Rattus norvegicus: one gene and its partner. The protein of the gene in region 1 interacts with the protein of each later gene in a pairwise test. Links are inferred from orthologs where the notes say so. Each region holds a gene or a part of one and is shown on either strand. Other genes may lie near its edges.

Region 1 (7,367 bases):
ACCAGCACTTGGCTCCTCAAATACTTGAGCTTCCTGAGAAGACTCAACTTTTGCTGTTCGACTTCCCTGAACCCCGAGGGCCAGCAACCTGCTATATTCCTAATCACTCCCCACTCAAGGGACAAGGATGCCATGCTGACAACAGACTGGTGACTTACCGAAAGGTCCAACTCCAACAAAGCCTTGGGCAGGTGTTGAAGGGGCCCCAAATGAGAGGCTGCTGCCTGTGGTGCCGACTCCTGGGGCAGGGGCACTCTGCCCAAAAGTAGGTGTGGATGTGCCTAAAGGGGAGACAGAAGAGTTAGAGACCAGACTGTTATCACACTAACCCCCAGCTCCAGGCCTGATGAAACCAGTCTCTGCCACCCCTCCATTATACAACTGCAGTGAGATGTGGGGCTGTCAGGTTAGCCCTCCCTGCCTCTTCTCCCTTGTTCCCTGCCCCTTCCCCTCACTCATCTTGGAGGGTCCCTCTTCTTCTCAGCATGCCCTATGGGAATGGCCCCTGCTCTGCCTGTGTGTAGTTGTCTCAGGGCTGTCTTGCTCTGACGCTGACTCCAGACCACTTCTCTCCCCTTCTATCTCAAACTCCCAATTTCTTTGTTTTGCTTTTTTGAGACTGGGTTTTCTGCTATGTAGCCCACGTTGGCTTTCAACTCTCCAACCTCCTGCCCAAGACTAGGTGCTGGGATGACGGACATGCAATACCACACCCAGGCCAATTCCTGTGGTTCAGGTCACCAGGCTCTAACTAACAGTGGTGGTCCTTTGGAAGGTCACCTGTCAATCACCACCCTCCCCGCAACAAGGATCCTGATCCCTCCCCCTCCCCATTCTTAAGTGAGCAAGATTCATGATCTTTTAGTGCTAATGACACACACACGAACTCTGAGTGTTATCTGTTGTGTGTATCTGCACCAGAGCAGTACTCATCTATGGGAGTGTACAGAAGCCAGAGGTTGACACTGGGTGTCTCTGAGTCTCTCACTGGCCTGGAGCTGGCTATGGTGGCTAGAGGGACGGTGAGTTTAGAGGATCTGCCAACCTCCACACACCCAGCATTGGGATTTACAGGTTCCCACGGCCTCAGCACGCTTTAGCACAGGAGACTGAACTCAGATCCTCAACTGCAAGCATCAGGCAGTTTGACTACTGAGCTATCTCCCCAGCCACATCCACCTCCTTATTCCAGAGGCTGCTTGAACCTCTGCAAGCTATGTGAGCAAGCCTTCCACTGTCTTCCCTTACATCCCCTTTCTCATGTTCCTGACAACTCACTCAACAGACCTGCCTCCTGCCCTGGTCCATCTTCCTCACTTCACTAAGCGCTTCTATTTACTGAAGAAGTCAGCAGCTCTTAGGACCAAAACTCACTCTGCACACTGCTGTACGACCTCTTCACCCTTAGGCTTGAAATTCTGCTGTGACTTCCCTGGACATTTAAAATCCAGGCAATGAATCCTGACTATGACCAACCCTGAACTCTGCCAGCCTTGCAACCTCCAGCCAATCTTGCCTATTCTCTGCACATGAATCCACCATTCCTGCTTCTGCCTCTATGCCGTGAGGCTACCCTCCCCTGCAGCCTGCAGCGGGTGTGTGCCCATCACTGGAGCTTTGGGAAGTATGAAGATCTTGAATTAGAGGGCAACCTGGGTTACACTAGGAAGCAGTATCAAACACACACACACACACACACACACACACACACACACACACACACACAAAGCAAACAGAAGCCAGTGCGATGGCTCAGAGGGAAAGCACTTGCAGCACAAGTCGGGCAACCCGAGTTTTAGTCTCAGAATTTAAGGAAAGGGAAAGATAACCTACTCCATAAAGTTACACTCTGACCTCTATCTGTACACCATGGTAATGTGCATGTACATGTATACGCATGCACGTGCATACATACACACTATAAATTACAGCAGCTGGGGAGATGGCTTGGTGAGTTAAAAGTGCTTCCTGTACAAGCACAAGTAACCATACAAGATAAAGCTAGGAATGACTGTACGCACAGGTTAACACCAAGCACATAAACCAAACATTTTTCCTTCCATTCATTACTTCTTCAAAGGCATTGATTTTGGTTTTCTAATGGAGGCTGGAGCGATAGCTCAATGGTTTCAGAGACCTAGATTCAATTTCCAGCACCCACATGGCAGCTCACAGGTCCCAGGGATCTAACGCCCTCTTGTAGCTGCTGGGGGCGGGCACCAGCACACATGTGGTAAACAGACAGACATACAGCCAAAGACCTAAGACCAGCCACCTCTCCAAGCCTCCAGAAACCTTTCTTCACTGCACAGGGCTCCCATCATCTCTAGTTTGGATTGCTAGTTGGCCTCTAACAATGCAGACGACTATGGTGCACTAACCCCTAACAGGGTTGTGGATCTTACCTCCAAACACAGGCTTGCTTTCAGGTGTACTGCCCACACTGAAGGCGAACGGTGAGCTCTGGCTAGGTGCGCCCAGGGTGTTCTGACTCAGACTTCCCCCAAAGGAGGTGGTGGTGCCCGTGGTCCCGCTCTGTCCAGATCCAAAGCTAAAAGTTCCAGAGGTGGAGCCGGTACCTGGTGTAGCACTAAGCCCAAAGCCTCCACCACCAGCAGGAGCTGCTGAGCCACCGAATGTGAATGGGGATGGAGTAGAGCTGCCAAACAGAGAGCTGCTGCTCCCACTGTGGGTGGTCTGTGTGGTGGCGGCAGCAGCACCAAAGCCAGATGTGGTGGCTGAACCAAAGGAGAACACGGAAGTGGTGCTACCGAAAGCCGGCTGAGTGCTGGCAGGGGTGCCGAAGGTGGAGGCTGAGGCTTTCAACCCTCCGAAAGCTGGCTGTGCAGCACCACCAAAGGCGGCTGGTGCTGGGGCTGCCGACGGGGCTGAGGCCACAGAGTTGCCAAAAGTGAAAGAGCTGCCAAAACTTGGGGCAAGTGCCGGCTTGGTGGCCCCATCAGTGGCTCCAAATGTGGGCTGTGAGTTGGCTCCGGGGTAGGTTGGGAGCGCAGGCTTGGCACTGGCGCTAAAGGGAATGTTGAAGGTGGGGGTGACAGTGTTGCTGAAGGTCAGAGTGGGCTGGCTGGTGGTGGCAGGGGCAGAGGTGGAGGTGGTGAGGGTCCCACCAAAACCACTGAAGCCCCCACTACTATTGCTGGCAGCAGTCTGGGCAGAGCTGGCAAGGGACTGGCTAAAGGAGGTGCCCGCCACAGACGCTGCTGGGGCAAGGGGCTTGCCAAATTGGAAGATGGAGGCCAGGGCTGGGGCGGAACTGGAAGCAGTAACAGGCGGGGCTCCCCCAAACAGAAGTGACTGGGAGGTGGAAGCTATGGTACTGGCAGTGCTCGCTGCAGTGGTCACTCCAAAGCCAAACACAGGCTTGGAGGCAGAAGCTGTGGTGCCAGTGGCCACTGTGGAAGTGGCAGTGCCCAGGCCAGTGAGGAGAGGAGCTGATGTGGCTGCAGTGGTGGCCGGAGCAGTTGTCTGCTTCAGGGAGAAGGGAGGTGACAGGGGCATGGCTGCAAATGGCTCCACGCTCTCAAAAATGGGCTTGAAAGTGTGAGCTGTGGCGGTTGCTGTTGTGGGGAGGGCGGTGCTGGCTGGAGTTGTCGTGGCGGCTGAGGAGCTAGTTGGCAAGGGATTATCACTCTCACTCTTAGGTGTGGCCGGGAAAATGGGCTTAAACATGGGAGAAGCGCAAGCTGGGCCAGGAGTGGCAAGGGAAGAGGAGCTGGCAGGTGGACTCAGCATCCCGAACAGCGTGCTGGCTGGAGTTGGGGAGGGAGCTGTGGCGGCTGGGGTGCTGACACACAGCTGGGCCTGAGAGACTCCAGGGGCCTTGGTGTCAGTGAGTGGTGTGGCGGATGAAGCAGAAGCCAGCCCCAGGAAGGTGGTTGTAGGTTTGGAGTCTGAGGAGGTGCTGGCTAGGGGCCCTGTCAGTGGTGAGACAAGAGGGGCCAGGAGGCTAGGTGTCTTCGGAGGTGAAGGGGCCGCAACTGTTGCTGCCTCAGGAGGTTCTGGGAAGAGAAGAAGTGAAGTGAGTCCTGAGGAAGTCTGAGAGTGGCACTCAACACGCCTGCACCCTCCAGCAACCACCACCACACCACGACTCAAGACATTTGTACCCCCACAGATTCCAGCAAAGACAGAAGGGAAAGCAGGGGAGCCTAGGGCTCCATGTGTGGTCATGAAGGAAAATGCTATTCCTGCAGCTCTGCAACTTCCCTGTCTACATGGGACAAAGGCCCATCATGTTTACCAACCCAGCAAAGAGTGTCTGGCCAGCCCCGAGAGCTACATCAGCACGCCTGCACTCTAGTGTGAGAAGTCAACTACACAGCGTGTTCAAGTGTGGGCCATGAAGGCATTAGCTGGTAAGGCTCACTAGTCCCAGTTTCAGTTACTCTAGGTTTGGGGTCCAGAAAGCTATAGATGCCTCACACTGTTCATACCTCCCAAAGAAGACAGCGTTCTCAATGCAGAGAAGACACACTCAGGACAGCTAGGGCAGCTAGCTGCCTTTCAACCATGAACCCAGTATTACAGCCCGCCTCCCTGTGTATTTCCAGACCAGGGCATTCTGAAGCCCTGAACTGACAGGCTACACACTCCCGTCATATCAAAAGCCTGTAATTCCAGGGCACACTGCTCTGCTTACCTGAGGAGGATGGGGCTGGAGACTCCTGCATCTTCTTCAAACTCTCCAACAGTGGGTTAGAGCTGGGAGCTGGGAGGGAGGCTGGTGAGGCAGCAGGCCCCACGGTAGGCAGGGTGAGTGTGAAGGGAGGGCTGGTGGCTGGGGAGGTGTCAGTGGCTGGGGTAGAGGCATCATCTGCAGAAGAAAGGTAAGCTTTTTACATCGGACCTCCTTCCAGATTCAGAAACACCTGTCCAGAAATGCTTCCCTAACCTCACTGGTGGCACACGGCCTGTGTTCCAGCACACGGGAGTGCAGGCAAGAGGACTATGAATGGGAGACTAAGCAGTTACACAGTAACTCTATTTTCACACACAATTCAAAACTCCCATTTCCCATGGGAAAGTATTGGTGACAGCTCCTGGTAATAAGGCCCCTGGTAGAACAAGTGGGGACAAAGACCCAAGAGCTGGTTGTGATGGCACACATCTGAAACCCTGCACTTTGGAGGCTGAAGCAGCAGTATTATGACTCTGAAGGCAGTCTTGGAAGATGAGACTCAGAACTAAATGGAAAAATCAAGTATTCTACAACTTCTCTCCCCAGGAAAGCTGAAACACACACAGAGCATGCTGAGCTCCACAGTCTTACCCGTCTTATCCTCCAAGACCTTGTTAAACCACTGCAGTGAGGCTCTCCTCTCCATGTCCAGGTCTTCAGCAGTGATGGAATAGCCAAGCTCAGGGGGTGGAGGCTGCCCAAGCAAACAGAGACAGGTTAGACCAACCCCAGAAGCTGTGGAAACCTGCCCCAGACTCCCTAAGACTAAAAGAGCTGAGAGGGATCGATAAGACATACCAAGGTGAGCTGGTCCCCTCGCCGGGAGGGCAGCAGCTGAATCTTGCGTTTGCGTTGCCCGGAGCTGCCAGGTGTGGGTGGGGAAGTCCACAGGCTCTGCTGCTTCCCCGTGGCTGGATCTGTAACTACAGAAACAAGGGTTGCTGGCCTCCCTAGTAAGGTCAAGACAGTTTGGAAGAGATTGTTTTCTGTGTTAGTGTTGTTTCTGACTGCTTCCGGAACAGCTGTGACCCCACTCCTCAGAGCCCAACCCTGAGCTCATGGCCTGGCAGTCCTCATATTCTGCAGTGGACACTCTTCCTATGCTGGACCTCCAAAGGGCTACAACTATCTTCCAAGCCTCACAGTGGCTAACTTCCACTGGAGATGCCACTCTCGGCTCCCATGGCTTCTCTACTTACCCTTTTCTCCTGGGGACTCCTTGTCTGTCACCAAGGGAGCTGAAGAACTGGACTGGTGACATGGTTCCTCCTCTCTGTGGAGATTGTGAAAAGCTAGGGTTTACTTGGGAAGGCCTGGAGGCTGCATGGCACCCCCCACACACACTTGCACATTCCTACACAGGCAAAGTCTAGAAAAACCACAGCTCTAGGTGTCAGCATATCACTATGAGTTGACAGAGGCCATGAACAACCAGCCTTTAATCAAATACAGAACAGGGATCTGCAAAGCTTTACTCAAAGCCTGCCAAGTCCAGGGTCCCAGACTACATCTTCAGGCTCTAACGGTAGGTTAGTGCCAGGAACAAGGAGGAACTGGTGAGGAAGCAGGCCCAAGACAGACAGACAGACATACAAAATAAAAAAAGGCTGGGTGGCAGGTAGGGAGGTGGGGCCAGACACAGACAGACCTGATCCTTGAGGGAGCTGAGCTCCAGGGAAGGGTGAACTGGGGCGAGAGACTCAGGCTCCCTGTTGACCGGGTCCACTCTGCACCACTCCCAGTGGAGTATGAGACAGAGAAGGAACTCCAGCCATCAGCTGCTCTCACTGTAGGACAGGGACATAACTCTAGCAGGCTCTTTGCTACTTTTCTGGGGTTTGACTCTTTGATTTGCTGAGTCAGAAAAAGCAGCCCACCAGCTAATCCCTGTTAAGCCCATTGCCCCGTCCATACAAAGTGACCAGGAGGGAATGATGATCACCTTGTCTTCTTGGCTGGCCTCTCTGGTGTCTGGGAGCGGGAGGAAGCTGGGCTGGAGAAGGGAGAAGAGGTGGGACCACTCCTCTTCCACAGCTGCAAGTCAAGCAGAGACACATCTGAGACCATTACTGGCAGATGTTCTGAACTGGCCAGACGGTGAGGCACACACCTTTAATCCCAGCACTAGGGAGGCAAAGGAGGGTGGATTTTTTGAGTTCAAGGCCAGACAGGTCTACATATTTAGTTCTAGAACAGCCAGGGCTATTTTACTGAGAGACTGTGTCTGAAAAAACTAAAAAGAAAAACAAACAACTACAGCAAAACTAAAAATAACCTTTTTGAGAGTGTGGAGAGCTGGCTCAGTGGTTAAGAAACACTTGCTGCTTTTGAGGACGACCCAGGTTGGTTCCCAGCCTCCACACCAGACTGCTCACAAGTACTATAATCCTATTCTAGGAGATTGGTGGCCTCTGGGCACCTGCATGCATATGTTGCCCCTAAACTCTCAGAGGCCCAAATAATTTTTCTTTTCTTTTATTTTTTTTAAGACCATGTCTTACTGCATAGCCCTGATTGCAATTTACTACGTAGACCATGTATTCCACCACACACTGCAAAATAATAAGTTAAAAAAAAGAAATTAAAAAAAAAAATAAAAAGGTAATACTTGTATTCATTATTTCAACAAAAATCACCTACAATAACAAGTACACCCTGCACTTTTACA
Region 2 (7,467 bases), on another chromosome or scaffold:
AGATACATAAAATCATCTATGTACTGATGATATGAAACAAGTCTGGCAGTTGTGGCCCATGCCTTTAATCCCAGTACTCTGGAGGCAGAGGCAGGCAGATCTCTGTGAATCCGAGGCTAGCCTGGTCTACAGAGTGAGTTTCAGGACAGCCAGGGCTACACAAAGAGACCCTATGTTCTATTATTTAAAAAACTACAAACAAGAAAAATAAAATGTATAGGACATGCATATATTATACAAACTCTGAAATTTTATATAAAGAACTTGAACAGTGGAGGGGGTTGCTTACAAAAAAGATCCGTCAAAAGGTTAAGGGGTTGGGGATTTAGCTCAGTGGTAGAGCGCTTGCCTAGGGAGCGCAAGGCCCTGGGTTCGGTCCCCAGTTCCGAAAAAAAGAACCAAAAAAAAAAAGGTTAATAAAATCAAAAGATACATAATTAAGTCTCCACATAAGGTATTTTTACCTTTCCATTCCTAACAGAATTTACTAGTTATTTAGAGAATTGGTAAATAAAATCTCACAGACAATTATGCATTATGGTATTTTCATGATAACAGAAAAACAAAAGAAAAATTCTCATGTGAATTTTCAAATCAGCAACAAAAATCATAATCAAGATTTTCTAAGGGGCCAGAGGCTCATTGGCAGAGTATATGATTAGCATGCCTGAAGCCCTGGGTTTAATCTTTAACACACACACAAACTAATCACGATCAATTTAATAATTAAGAACATAACTGGTAATACTGCTACCATCTTTGTATTCAATATGAATGAGACACACAAGTTATTAGGTTTTGATAAATTCCTTCAATAAATGTTTAACAATATCTACCAAGACATACTTCCCTCCCTTAAGGAGTTTATATTTTCAAACATGGTATATATTGATACACATCTTTCAATCAACCAAGTTTTAACACACTCTAATTTTACAATTGACTGAAATATGCATAAAGAAGTTAACTTGCCCAGTACCACCATCATTAAGAACAAAGCCTTGAGTAGTATCAAGGGAACTCCACTTCAACGGCATCTAAATATCCGGAAAAAAATAAAACCATAGCAGCAGTGGGGGTGGTGCTGTTTGCTTGTTTTTGAAACAGGGTCTCTCAGTGTGTAGCTTTGGCTAGCCCAGGACTTTCGATATAGACTGGGCTAGCCTCACAGAGATCTGCCTGCCTCTGCCACCCAAGTGCTGGGATTAACCATCTGTTGCAGAAAACCTGACACCTTCTTCTGACCACTGCAGACATCAGGCACACAGGCGGTGCACAGACAGACATGCAGTCAAAATACCCTTGCATATAAAATAAAAATAAATGAATCTTTTTTAAAAAATTAATTTCATCTAATTCCTTATGCAGTCTAATGTGTCTACTAGAATATTTTAAATTAAATATGTAGCTCATTAATTTCTACTAGACAGGGCTGGTATTGACTACAACTATATTCAAGATTTTTTATACATTTTTGGCAGTTTCATTATATATGCTAAGTGGGCCTCAAATTCACTACGTAGTTCAGGATACCCTTAAACTCACAATCCTCCTGTGTTAGCCTCTGGGTGCTGAGATTACACACCCAGCTCTATTTTCTGAAGACTTTATGGAATAAACAATCATAAATATATCAGTAAAAGAAAATCTAAACTCGGATATTAAAATAAGTTACAAGGGCATTTATATAACAACAAACTGAAGAAGCTAAAAATCCAAAGAAAGGAAAATAAGAATTTGTCTCCAAATTAACCATAGGAAAAGGTGTTATGTGAAGCGTGGCAATGCTGTTTGCTTACTCGAGGCATGGTGTCATTATACTGCCTCAAACTAGCCTCCTATCTTGCAGGAATTACTTGTGTGTGTGTGTGTGCGCGCGCGCGCGTGTGCGCGCGCGCGCGTGTGCGCGCGCGCGCTTACCACACACATGCACATAACATGTCACCAGTATAGAGGACAGAAGACAATCGTCCAGATCTGCTTCTCTCCTTCCACCATATGGGTCTCAGTGATCAACTCAGGTCATCAGCCTTGGGGGCAAGCATCTTTACTGGCTAAGCCATCTCACCTGCCCTTACAGTGATTTTTTAAAACAATAAATAAATTTTAAATTTCTTAAAGATAAACTTTTTTATCGCCCTGATGTTGAATGGCTTGTGGATGACAGCAGTTTTCTGAAAAAATCATTTTTACAAGCAGAACATACCGTGCTGAGTTGTCTTGATACTACAGAAGCCAATGTACTCCTTCAAACCCCTGCCCTAGAGGCAAGCTAACTGCCCTTATGTAGGCCTTACTATTAGGACAAGATAAAATGTGAACCAGCCACATGGTCTCCAAGAATAAATTTATAGTATTACATGCCCATCTGCTTGCAACAACTTTTTAAATGTACTTTTAACATAGTACTTTTCAGGTTAAACAGTATAATTCTGCATCTCCTAAAATACCTGGGAAAAGCTATAGATTATGACCAGAAAATAAGCTGTGGATTGTGAATTTTGTTTCCTTACACTAGTTCATAAAAAGTTCCAAATATTATTTCTGGTACATAAATGAGAAAAACTGGAGCACTGAATACTCTGAAAAGAAACTTAAGAGACAAACCTGCATGTGTACCTCTGAAGTGCTGGACCCCCAACCCAGGGCTTCACATGTGGAAGGCAAACACTGCCTCGGAGCTACCTCCCAGCTTGTTTTCTTTTTGTTTTGCTTTGTGAAACAATATTTGAGGTATTTCTCCAGCCTCAGTGTTACAAATGTTGGGAGTATATGTCAGGTGCGGTGTTTGACACCTGCACTCTGGAAGCTGACCTAGGAAGATTGCGAATTTGAGGATAGCCTGAGCTACATAAAGTTCTGAGTCAGAGAGAGGGGCTCTTCTGGCCTCTTTGGCCTTGGAGGTAGAAGCAACATGACAAAAGAACACCGTCGTCTGGAAAGCGTCCCAATAAGATGCACACATTGTACCACACACATTGTACCACCGGCCGCTGTGGCTCTAAGAACTACCACTTTCAGAAGTTGGTCTGTGGCAAATGTGGCTACCCTGCCAAGCTCAAGAGAAAGAATAACTGGAGTGCCAAGGCTAAGAGACAAAATACCACCAGGACTGGGTGGATGTGGCACCTAAAAATTGTCTGGACGATTCAGACATGGATTCCGTGAAGGAACAACACCTAAAATCCAAAAGAGCAGCTGATGCAGCAACCACGATTGAGAATTTCAGTCAGCCATAAAATAACTGTTACCATGCAAAGCTTGGTTACCTTTAAAGTCCATGATGCTAAGGTCAGCAATGCCATCCATGTATTAAATGTCCGGATCCAGCCTATTGAACAAGAAAATATTTTAATACTCCACCCTTTATTCTCTAATTTCTTAAAAAGACACTTTTTTCCAGACAACTATGCCCATTACATATTACCTAAAAGTACAGGGAAGTTGAGGAAGCTGAAAATCCAGGAGAAACGTTGTTAAGGAGAGAGGTTTCTGCTGTCCCGCAACCGAAAAGCTTGCTCGTCTCTGGCGGCCCAACGGCCCAAGGCCGGAAGGCGAGGTTCAGGGCTCTGTCACAGCTAGTCATGTTCTGTGATTGGTCTGTCCCGCACACACTGCCCCGCCCTCTTTATGCAAATAGATTGAGTCATACTTTGTGATTGGTCTGTTTCGGTGTTCAAACACTCTCGTGCATATCCCATCGGCCCCCTCGCTCTTGGCTGCGTTTTTTGGCGCCTTTTTCCCGCTCTACGTGGCCTTCCACTAACGGTCGCTGAGCTGAATTGGCGCTGCTTAGCCCTCCTTCCCCTACCCACAAACCTCTCGTTCTGAAGATATTACCTCAGAGCATCTCTAAGAAGTATTGTCAAATGTCTGTTTCTTCTTGGTAGTTCTAAACCCTGGGCTGCAGATGCGGGGCCCTGAGTTCGATAATACACACATATATACATAAACACACGTAATAAACAAGATGAAAGAAAAGACTGGACCACTTCCTATCCACTAAACCTCTCGCCCGCTGAAACTACAGCCTTTAAATGTGCCTCACACGCTCCTCAGGAGAGCAAAGCTCCTTCCCCTCTATTACATCATCAAAAACCACTCCCAATTGTCCTTTACGATATATTGATTCTCTGCCTTGGAATCCTGTCTAAATTCTCTACACTGGATGAAACCAGAACGAGACTTATCAGGACAAGGTCTAGACGTAAGAACAGAAGTGGACTACCATTCAAAGGAAGGACAGATGGCCAGGATTATAGAAAAACAAGAACAAGAATTCACTCATACACACGCTACAAAAACAGTGTACACAGAGCTACTCAGTGTTTCAAACTGGCAAGGTATCCCAGCACAGTAGCACAGGCTACTAGTGTCACCAGTCAGAGGCTAAAGCAAGAGAATCCCTTGAGTCAAGGCATTCTAGATCGCCTGGGAAGCATAGTAAAACCCCAGCAAAGAAATAAATAAATAGTGTCAAAATTCGGAAAAAGAAGAAATTGTGCACTCGAGGCAGGGAGGCTAACCGCAGACCTTCATATCTCCCTCCATGCCTGAGTCCCAATCCCCAAGTCTCATCCCCAGTTCGTAGAGTCTCATCCCCAGTTCGTAGCAGACCCACCTGCCGCTGTCTCTCCTTACTCTCTACCTCCCTCCCCCTTCCCAAGGGACTAAACAGATCCCCATGGAAAACCAAGCTTTCATCCTGCGGACAGCTTCACCCTGCCCTCCTACCCATCCCTTTCCCTAAATGTCAGCACCTAGAAAAAACGTTTTGCCTGGAATCACCGTGGACTTCCCTATGAGGCAACACAGAACCACCACGCTCTCCTAAGAACCACAGAGGGTAACAGAAACCCAAGACAAGACCAGAGATCAGCACCGATGTAACTGCTTGTATTACTGAGATGGGTAGGCTGATTCCATGACAGGCTCCTATCCCAGAATTCCCCTAACGTGCTTTAAATCAGGCCTGTGAGCTTACTTCTGGGTCTTTCTATCTTGGTAATGGGAGACTCCAGCATGCTGGACTTCTGCAGGATAAGAGCATTTACATACTATTTGAGTCTGGGTATCATCCTTCAGTGAATCATGAACCCTTATTTTGCGAATCCTAATTATGTTCCCCCAAAAAACTGTTTTCACTAGAGGGTCTACACATAGCTTCTGGGAACCTGTCCGGAGCTGGTTCTGATTGGTAAATAAACATGCCAGAAGCCAGTAGCTGGGAAGGACAGACAGAGGCGGGATTCTAGGATTCCCCCAGCTTGAGACTGGGAGGAGAAGAAAAGAGATCCACCATACTTTAGAAGAGTGTGACGAGAGGACAGAGTCTGCCATGGAGTAGAAAGGCAAGGAGAACACCCCGGCTCTGGGCCAAGAAAAACGTGACCCAGACGGCTGACTAATTGGAGTTAGAGCAGCCAAGACTGAATATAGAAATGAGTAAGTAGTAACTCGGAATTATCGGCGGGAGCTAGATTCTAGCAGCATAGATGCAGTCACCCAGCTATCGTGCTGCTTAAGGCATGTTAAAAGGCTCTGTGTGTGTGTGTGTGTGTGTGTGTGTGTGACTGTGATGGTGGTGGTAGTGGTGTGTGTGTGTGTGTATGTGAGTGTGGTGGTGGTGGTAGTGGTGTGTGTGTGTGTGTGTGTGTGAGACTGTGGTGGTGGTGGTAGTGGTGTGTGTGTGTGTGTGTGTGTGTGTGTGTGACTGTGGTGGTGGTGGTAGTGGTGTGTGTGTGTGTGTGTGTGTGACTGTGGTGGTGGTGGTAGTGGTGTGTGTGTGTGTGTGTGTGTGACTGTGGTGGTGGTGGTAGTGGTGTGTGTGTGTGTGTGTGTGACTGTGGTGGTGGTGGTAGTGGTGTGTGTGTGTGTGTGACTGTGGTGGTGGTGGTAGTGGTGTGTGTGTGTGTGTGTGTGACTGTGGTGGTGGTGGTAGTGGTGTGTGTGTGTGTGTGTGTGACTGTGGTGGTGGTGGTAGTGGTGTGTGTGTGTGTGTGTGTGTGTGTGTGTGTGTGACTGTGGTGGTGGTGGTAGTGGGGTGTGTGTGTGTGTGTGTGTGTGTGTGTGTGTGTGTGTGTGTATCTTCCATTCGGGAACATAAACCACTGAGGTGGGTAGCCTCTGAGTGTGAAAACCAGAAAACCAATAGGTCTTTGGGGTTTTTTGGTTTTTTGGTTTTTGTTTTGTTTTGTTGTGTTGTGTTTTTTAGTTTGGTTTGGTTTGGTTTGGTTTGGTTTGGTTTGGTTTGGTTTGGTTTTGGTTTTGGTTTATAGAGACGGGTTTTCTCTGTGTGGCTTTGAATATCCTGAAACTCACTCTGTGGACCAGGCTTGCCTCAAATTCAAAGGGATGTGCCACCACTATCTAGCTATTATTTTTTTTCGGAGCTGGGGACCGAACCCAAGGCCTTGCGCTTGTTAGGCAAACGCTCTACCACTGAGCTAAATCCCCAACCCACTGTCTAGCTATTTTATTTTATTCTTTAAAGCATGAATTTGAAAAGATGGGGTTGGGGATTTAGCTCAGTGGTAGAGCGCTTGCCCAGGAAGCGCAAGGCCTTGGGTTCGGTTCCCAGCTCCGAAAAAAAAGAACCAAAAAAAAAAAAAAGAATTTGAAAAGACTGGAAAAAAATTTAGTTCCAGGATAGTTTTGCCCAAGAGTTTAAGAGCATCGGCTACTCTCCACAGACTCAGGTAACTCACCTCCATCTGTAACCCCTGTTCCAGGGGATCAGAGACCATATTCTGGCCTCCACAGGCATTGTACCCACATAGTGCCCATACATACAGGCAAAAAAACTCACATACATAAATACAAATAACAATTTAATTTGTAAATCTGCAGTTCCAAGGCATGCCTCTGTTGCTCCTGCTCATATCAAATCTGATGTTTTGAATCTGACTTTAATGTAATCCAGGTCCATTATGCCAGCACCCTACCCTCTGACCTACATCTCCAGTATCTCCTGTCGAATCTAAAACTACCCATTGCCTGTCCTTCAGACTCACAGCAAGTTTATAAATCCCATTGTGGTGGTTAGAATATGCTTGGCCCATGGGAAGTGGCACTATTATGAGGTGTGGCCTTATTGGAGGAAGTGTGCCACTGTGGGGATGGGCTCTGAGATCTCCTAGCTTCCTGGAAGACAGTCTTCTCCTAGTTCCCTTTGGAACAAGATGCAGAACTCTCAACTCCTCCTGCACCATGCCTACCTGGATGCTGCCATGTTCCTGCCTTGATGGTAATGGTCTGAACCTCTGAAACAGTAAGCCAGCCCCAAGATTTGCCTTGGTCATGGTGTCTCTTTACAACAAGGAGACCCTAAGACACCCATCAACCTTCAAATGGTTCTAGGCAGCATAGAATATATGGATAAATAAACTTGTTTCCACCTAGTACACATACAACGCCTCCAAGTAAGAAAAAGACTTATACTAAAATTTCCATAAAGCCACGAACCAG

What was found. The genes of interacting proteins can lie anywhere in the genome.
Region 2: the proteins of Pom121 (region 1) and Tex11 interact in binary tests that used the Homo sapiens proteins (3 or more experiments, as listed by UniProt). The two-hybrid records come from large-scale screens. The link is inferred for Rattus norvegicus from reciprocal best matches to the Homo sapiens genes POM121 and TEX11.

The regions. Positions count from the first base shown.
Region 1 is NC_086030.1:26,921,181-26,928,547, reverse strand, and holds part of Pom121 (nuclear envelope pore membrane protein POM 121), read right to left. Parts: intron 6,734-7,367; coding exon 6,642-6,733; intron 5,973-6,641; coding exon 5,899-5,972; intron 5,623-5,898; coding exon 5,498-5,622; intron 5,394-5,497; coding exon 5,291-5,393; intron 4,835-5,290; coding exon 4,661-4,834; intron 4,020-4,660; coding exon 2,406-4,019; intron 282-2,405; coding exon 159-281; intron 1-158. UniProt on the Homo sapiens protein: Essential component of the nuclear pore complex (NPC). The repeat-containing domain may be involved in anchoring components of the pore complex to the pore membrane. When overexpressed in cells induces the formation of cytoplasmic annulate lamellae (AL).
Region 2 is NC_086039.1:70,232,408-70,239,874, forward strand, and holds the start of Tex11 (testis-expressed protein 11), read right to left. Parts: upstream 4,138-7,467; 5' UTR 3,428-4,137; intron 3,332-3,427; 5' UTR 3,310-3,331; coding exon 3,270-3,309; intron 1-3,269. UniProt on the Homo sapiens protein: Regulator of crossing-over during meiosis. Involved in initiation and/or maintenance of chromosome synapsis and formation of crossovers.